Linked DNA regions of Danio rerio. The protein of the gene in region 2 interacts with the protein of the main gene of each other region in a pairwise test. Links are inferred from orthologs where the notes say so. Each region holds a gene or a part of one and is shown on either strand. Other genes may lie near its edges. The genes, in order: hinfp and npat.

Region 1 (4,436 bases), on a different chromosome or scaffold from region 2:
CTCAGGAACGATGTTGCGGTTGTGGAGGCCGACGGAGCAGGCACCCATGTCGCTGTGGCTCTTGAGTATAGCAAGACCCCATTGCTTCAACTTGGTGTGGTAGCAATGGAAGAATATGTGTCTGAGAAACTCTTCATCTCCTTCCACTGAGCAGAAGCCACAGTCTCGCCACAGACAGTTATGCTCCTCTTCTGAAAGACAGGCAGGCAAGCCAAGCTATGATTATTGCCAGCAGAGCCAGTGACTGCCAGAAAACTTGAGCTGAGATGCTCAACACTCAGAAACAATCCTCTGATGATGTAACATTGATACAGACAGACAAACAGTGGATAAATGTGTGCCAGTGACTAGACGACTGCCCCCGAGTGAAATAAATTTTTTTTATAATAATAATATTAATTAATTAATTTTCATTTTGACTTAGTTCCTTTATTGATCTGGGGTCACCACAGCGGAATGAACCACCAACTTATCCAGCATACGTTTTATGCAGCAGATGCCCTTCCAGCTGCAAGCAGTCACTGGGAAACACCCATACACTCTCATTTACACCTTCCTCAATTCAACAGTACCGCATATCTTTGGACTTGCGGGGGAAACTAGAGCACCAGAAGGAAACCTAAACAAACACAGGGAAAGCATGCAAACTCCAAACAGAAATGCCAACTGACCCAGCCTGGGCTCGAATCAGCGACCTTCTTGCTGTGAGGTGACAGCGCTACCCACTGCGCCACCCAAAATAGATATTAAAGTAATAACAGTTTATTATTCATAAATACAAGCAGTAACCATATAGTGAGTACATGTAGTTAATCATTATTCAGTAAAAAAATATAGTTAGTTTCACTGTAACAAGAAGAGTGTAAAATAGTGTAACCCATTCTTGTAACTAAAACTTTGATCATAATCTTTTAACTAGACTTTCTATAGTATTATTTAGTTGAGAATTGTAAATTCTTAAAAAAAATTCTTAAAGTTTTTTTATTCAGCTTTCATTTTAGTTTCAACTGAAGTAATTCTGTTATGTACTTTGCAATGCATTTTATAATTAGTTTTTTTTTTAATAATGTTATTTTATTATTTAGTTTTTTTATTGTGATGCATATTTTACAAATGAACAAAATTTTTTCAAACTTTATTAAAAATATATATTTCATGTTTCAGATGACAATAAAAAGAGACTAGAGAATATTATGACAGCTTTATGACAGAGATATTTTGAACAATGCCTGACTTTGGCCTTTTCCATTTTCTGACAATAAATGGTGACTAATAGCAAACTTAAAAAAGGTTATAAAAACACAATATAAAATATCCATGAAAACCATAAAAAGTGGTCCATATGACCAAAGATGCATCATTTTTCAATGCTATTCTCCAGTGGTGCCCAAACTTTTTCCTATAAAGGGTCAAAAACCCAAGGGCCAAGATGATTGAGGGCTGTGGGCCAAATACCCACCAAACCGTATATATTCTATTTGCTAAGGGTAATATGCTAATTTATTTGGTAATATTTAAAAATAACTAGAAACATTGCTTTAAATCATATTAACTAATGCAGAATCATTTTTTAACATTTTATAATGAACTCATTAAAGTAAAAACATAAACAATCCCATTTATAAGACAATGGGGTTAAATGTAGAATACACTAGTCAAGCTGCTCCTGCGTTTACCTTAATTTGCTCACAGATATCTTGTGCATTGTCCTCTATCTGTCAAGTGACCGTATGTACATTTTAAAAGTCTGATTCATCTACAACATTTAATCCAATCATTTAATTTCATTTGGCTTTTTGGTAGCTCAGCAATAAAATGAAGAAGCAAAAAGCTACGTTAAATTTGAAAAGACAATCTCTGTCAAAAACAGCCCCAAAAATTCGCCCCAACCACCTCTCCATCGCTCTCTCCCTCTCTTTTTACATGGCATGGCAGGCCAATTCAAAGGTTACCATATGCCAACTTTTGCCTGTGGGCCCTACTTTTGCATCTCTGCTATACTCACTAATACTAATACTGGCACTTTCCATTCCTTATGGTTCATTTTCCTAACAGATAAATAAAAAACAAACAAACGTTGTAACATGACTAACTGGAACTTGTCACAGCAGGTATTGCTATCTTATTTTGTTGGTTTAATTGCTTCTTTTGTTCTCATTTCGGTGTAAGATTAAAATGTTATATAAACGTGTTATCTCCTCCCACAAAAAAAACATTTGTTTTCAGCGATCTCAGTAGAAAAAAAAAGATCTGGAACAGCATGTTGTTGAATAAGTGATGACAGATTTTTTTTTTCTTTTGGGGGTAAAATATATACTTTAACCAGGATAATAAGTGAATAGCTAAATACAGGTTAAATACATTTCATTGACGTATCTTGACCCCTGGCCCTTCCACATGTTTAACGCACCTGGAAAGTCTGTCTTGTTGTCCACGGTGACTTTATAGTGTTTCTCCACATGCTGGCAGAAGTCCTGCATCCTGTCAAACGTCTCCTGACACGAGCCCCATTCACAGACGAGCTCCATCTGCAGCTCCTCTCTGCGCAGGCCTCGTTTGGCTGACGGGGGCATTATACAGCATATAAAACTGAATATAAAGCACAACGTGTGGTCCTCCAGTCCTCTGAATAACAGAAACGTCACATGTGAGACCTAATATGACTGTTAAATTCTGCACACCGCAGCTCAAGCCAAGTGTCAGTTTGTTTGTATTGAATAACAACACACAGCGATTTTCAGCACACGAACTCCACCAAAACGATTACATCCATTACATGAAAGCTTATTAAACATCGAAAGCACAAACAGGTTTATGAAACCATAGTCAGAGTTGTTAAGCTAGCATGGTGCATAGCTGCTTAGCACAACAAAAAGGGCAAGTTAACATTCTGCCTTCGTTTTGCTGGTTGAAGCATTTTTGTTAGTTTCGGGTTATAATAAACGAATGTGTTTTCTTTCAAGACTATTATTGTGGGCGCGAGCAGTTACAGGTGCTTAAAAGTATTGAGAAATAACTCACCTTTAACAATTACTTGAAACATTTCCTCACTTTTTTGCCCAGAAATTAAAGAAACCAATCAGAAATCATCTTTGCGGCGTTGCGTTCAAATCTAAGCCAATCAAATTGCAGCTTTGCTGTACGTCATGATAATCGTTCCCTCCAACATCTAAATTCTTTCAAGTGTTCCGGATTGCACAATGCGTTCACTGGCTAGAAATGAATGTCTCACAGCGCTCAAAACGATTTTACTTGATGCACGACACTGTTTTCTGTTTGGAGTGGACACAGTATCATTCTACTTTAACAGTAAATGTGAATGAAAGTTATATTCTATTGTTAACCATACTAAAGTACTTGAATTAATCTGTGGTAATTATATAGTTGCTGCGGTAATACAACTACACTACTATAAACAAATCATCCAATACTTAATTTTTCTACAATCATATAGGGCATGATATACTATAATACACCACATTTTACTGTAGAGCTAACTTAACTGTACTTCAATGTTTTTTAGTTTTATCAGTTCACTATAGTTAATTCTCTGGTATGTGGTAGCATTTATTAACTGTTGCAAATACTGTAATATACACAGTTTAAAATGCTTTACTGTAGTATGGTTCCAAAACACTATAGTGTCTTTATGTGGGTAACAATTATCTATTCTCTACATATATCAGCTAGACACACTACAAATACACTATAGGTTTATATATATTTTTTTATTTTTTATCAAAACAATCAGCATATTTTGGTTATGTTGGATTTCAAGTTTGAATGCTCCATTTTCTTTTCTTGAAGCTAACATGGTCCATTGTCACACTGGTTTATTCAAATGAGTCATGTTATTTGCTCTGACACAGAAAAATATAAGTGCACATGTGTTTCAGCAATATTTCAGAAATGTTCACACCAACTGTCTAAAATATCCCTGAATGTAAATGCTTCACATAATTTTTCAAAATAGAACCGTCTGCTTTTCAGGATGCCCCACATTATTGGAAATCCTCATGCTGACATTGTTATTTACAGAGCCTTCATGTCCCAGTGAGTATTGGGGGCTTACGTGTAGATTGTCCCTTCACATGCAGATACACAAACAGAAGAGCTGAAATACACTGTACTGCAATGAGATTTTTATAGAAAACAGGCAGTAGATAGTAATAATATATATATATATATATATATATATATATATATATATATATATATATATATATATATATATATATATATATATATTAAAAATCAGTTGATTCAGTTGTTTGTCCAAATGAAAGCAGCAAGTTGTAGAGTATCTCAGGTTCTCAAGTTTTCTAGACGTCATAGAACAGACGCACAAGGTGATAACGAATGCCAAATGCCACAGCACTCCCCAAAACCTGCATTAAAAAATAGATAATTGTATTATTAATAATATCAATGATATT
Region 2 (3,829 bases):
CCTCTGGCGGGACGGCGTTCTCAATCCATCTGTCAGATCCTCTAGTGCACGTCCCGGTCCGGGTGTTCTTGGAAGAGGGAGATCTGGACATCCGATTGCTTGTTTTTTCGGAGGAGTTGCCACAGGTGTCTGACCTTGTATGTCCTGCAGCATCTCAACAGCCTGTTTGGTCAGAGGGCTCGTTTTGCATAAAGTTTTACTGGAAGAATTTAATAACGGTGTTGCAAATTTTGCTGGAGATGGTACGAGATTGTCAGTGGGACGTGCTAGTGTTTGACTGCTCTCCAGCTCATTTTCTTTATTAGCAGTGATGCCTGGAGAATCTTGTAAGGATGTTTTCTCTGAGGACATTTCTGGTGGGTTTGAGAGAGTCTTTTCACCTGATGATTCTTTCGAGTTGTCTGATGGTTTCTGTTTTGGCCCCGGGACAGATGATGTTAAAGGCCCTGCATCTTTGCTTTGTGATTTTTGTGATGATTCTGATATAACAACAGACTCTTTGTGTGAAGGCTTGGTACTTTCGATTATATTAAGTTCTTTATCAGTCACACTACTTTTCAGAGCTTCCTTTTGTTGATGAAAGATGGTGACTTTTGTGGAGTCTTTTGCACCCGTGTTGGTATTTACTTCTGGAAGTCTAGTTGTTTCTATTCTTCGTTTGGATGTGTCAGAAGCTGAAGGCTGTTTGGCTTTAGTGGGTGTGATTTCTTTTTGAGTCGAGGAGGATGTAACAGCAGAGGACGTGAGCATGCTTGTCTGTGAGGAATTTGGTCCAGTTGCATTGTTTTCAGGCGTGACGTCAAAGCAAAGTATCCGCCGGTGGCTGGGGCTTGACCCATTTACACCCTTTTCTTGTTCAGAAGTCTGGGAAAGCACTTTGGAAACTTGAACAGAGCCTGGTGTGCCAGTTTTGGCTAAAAAGAAGTAAACAAATAGTAAGCTCTTTTTAAAAAACTGTTATTAAATAACTAGTTAATTTCAAATCAGACATGGGAGAAAGAGAAAAAAAAAGATTTGCATTAATAAAATGCAATTGTCAAGCAGTGGTTTGAGAAACATAATGTTGGAATCAAGTTAATGTCTTGGCCTCCCAATTAACCTGACATGTACCCAATCTAATACCACACAATGTAATGGAACTGGAGGATCTGCTTTTGACATTATTGTACCACATTACCCACAAGACCAATCGCACCAAGGCCTCACCATGTGGTAGTTGATTTTAAAGCTAATACAATGAATAATACTAAGACATGTATAGACCCTTTTCAGATTTCTAGGTTTCTCAGTAGCAGAAGTGATCATGGTTGGGTAAATGTAGAGTGCAGTAAAAAAAAATTACAATCCTATTTGCTGAAAAAAAAAACTATGATGGTGTTGGTGAAATGATGGTGAAAAAGTAAGAAAAAAAAAAGAAACAAAAAAGTGTATGTAGGACTGACAATGGCAGCCAGAAAACAGAAGAACGTCATATTTACTGTCCCGCCTCATGAACGCTGCATTTCAAACACCGCGCACAAGCAGCAATTCATGATTTGATGCAAAGATGATATAATACATACATAAAAACATAAATGTTCATACATTTAAAAAAATAATATATTAAAAACTTTTAAGAATTTAAAATGCTGATGCCTGTTAAACATGTCATAATAGTCTTTTGAAAAGTCCCTTGTCAACATGTATGTGTGTGTTGCAACAGTTTTAATTTAGAAAAAAAAGATATAAAAAAAGAAATCTGAAAACTAAGTCTGTCTTACCAGTGTCAGTGTTTTCCTTGGGTGCCAGTTTATGTTGCGAAATTACTTTCGTAGGTTGCCTTACAGTGGTTGAACGTGGCAAAGTCAACATCTGTATTTAAAGAGTAAAGATTATAAACAATACTAAGACACTGAAATTAGCATTGTTTAAAAAAAAAAAAAACTACAAAGATACTGACCTGATTTGGAAGGACTGTGAGTTTTCCAGTATTCTGCCCCATAACAGACACTGGAAGCACCACATTTTGTAACATAGGCTGAACAGGTGACGATATAATAATAGTGGAGCCTAAAAATAAAAAAGTTGGAATTTCAAACATGCAGGAAGAGAAAAAGAATGTATCTCAACATAACATAATCAACTGAACATAATCAAGTTAAAGAAATAGCTCACCCAAAACTATTCTGTTATCATTTACTCACCCCTCACTTATTCTAAACCTTTTTTTCTTCTGTTGAAGACAAAATAATTATTTAAAGAAATGCTGGAAACCTGTAACCATTGACTTCTATGGTATTTGTTTTTCCTTTTATATCAGAGTACAATACAGATTTCTAACATTTTTCAAAATATCTTCTTTTCAACAGAAAAAGGTAAATTCATAAGGGTTTGGTACCACTTGAGGGAGAGTAAATAGCGAGTAGTTTTCATTTTTGAGTGAACTATCCCTTTAATTTTACTGATGACCCTTCTTAAAATCAGGTAAGACTTAGGCCCAATCCCAATTTTACCCCTTAGCCCTTCCCCTTCATTTTGCACGTTTTTGTGAGGGGGTAGGGGTGTCTCAATTCTCTTTAGCTTGAAGGACTCCAGGCTGATTTATACTTTTGCTTTGAGTGATTGGCATGACCCACGGCGCCTATGTTGTGCGTACTCGTGCATTTATACTTCTGCATGCTGTTTGTGTTGCTCTGCAATAACACTTCCGAAATGCTAGCAGGCAGTGAGGTTATGTTCTTCCGTGTCAAGTTTCTTTGCGGGTGTTCTGTTTTTTTCTGAATGCTACCTTAATGTACAAATAGTTAAACTCACTCATTCTGACTGAGGCAGGAACCGGCGGGCATGAAACAATTGTAATCATAAGGTAAACACAAAACAAGAGTCTATCTGGAGCTCCTTCATAAGACCAGACACTTGTAAACACTCACTCTAACAGGCTCGTGGCTCTCAGCACCGCCCACACTCATCACAGCTAACAAGTCAACCAATCACACAGCTTGTGATGTGTAGTTACATTTTATTGAGAGATGCGCATCAGCCACAGCAAGGGCTATGCGACCGTATGAAGGCTACACCAAAGCATACAAGTGCACTTGACGCAGAAGTATAAATCAGCCTTTAGAACCACACTAGAAAGCAAGGCATACGAAAATTTCTCAGAATACAGCAGCTACAATGGCAACATGGCTGCAGGCACGAGTCAGGAGATACACAAAGGAGTATTTTTTGGTATTCTTATTAAAAATTTTTTACAACAAACAAGGATATGTTTTAATTATAGGTGGGCATAGAGTAATTTTTTTAATCTAGATTATTCTCGGAATTAATGTAGATTAATCTAGATTAAAATGGCTCATTTGATTTTTGTCGAAGGCATTCAGTGTGTGCTAGCCAAATATTAAGTCTTTGAGAACGCGTTTCTCTAGCCAGGTGGCGCATTAGACCAGGGGCTCATCTCCCGTTTCCAAAATGCATGAATGAAATGTTCATGAGTGAAAGTGAAACTGATGAACAGCAGTTAGTCAGGCATCCTGCTGATTTGATTCAGAAGGGCTCTTTGTCGTCAGATGCCTCACCGGTCAGGTTTACATCTGTGCTAAAATATCAAGGTGAAAGTCATCATAGCTTGCGCAGAATAGACCCAGCTCCCAAACCAACTTTGAGAATAGATCAACGGTGATATTTATTTTTGTGCGATAAAAGTCTCTTGTTAATGCCAATAATGGCCCACCATAGTATTGAACAACATTCGTATTTGAAAGTCATGCTTTTTTTTTTTAAATATTAAAAATACAAACTGATGAATCTAAATTTCACTATGTATAATCCATAATAATAACTCCTGTAT

The links.
Region 1: the proteins of npat (region 2) and hinfp interact in a two-hybrid assay, tested with the Homo sapiens proteins (2 studies listed by BioGRID). The link is inferred for Danio rerio from reciprocal best matches to the Homo sapiens genes NPAT and HINFP.

Annotation. Positions count from the first base shown.
Region 1 is NC_133180.1:31,212,629-31,217,064, reverse strand, and holds the start of hinfp (histone H4 transcription factor), read right to left. Parts: upstream 2,992-4,436; 5' UTR 2,574-2,991; coding exon 2,411-2,573; intron 192-2,410; coding exon 1-191. Other genes in the region: dpagt1 (UDP-N-acetylglucosamine--dolichyl-phosphate N-acetylglucosaminephosphotransferase), read right to left, coding at 4,323-4,388. UniProt on the Homo sapiens protein: Transcriptional repressor that binds to the consensus sequence 5'-CGGACGTT-3' and to the RB1 promoter. Transcriptional activator that promotes histone H4 gene transcription at the G1/S phase transition in conjunction with NPAT.
Region 2 is NC_133190.1:28,005,981-28,009,809, reverse strand, and holds part of npat (protein NPAT), read right to left. Parts: intron 2,050-3,829; coding exon 1,940-2,049; intron 1,852-1,939; coding exon 1,761-1,851; intron 915-1,760; coding exon 1-914. UniProt on the Homo sapiens protein: Required for progression through the G1 and S phases of the cell cycle and for S phase entry. Activates transcription of the histone H2A, histone H2B, histone H3 and histone H4 genes in conjunction with MIZF.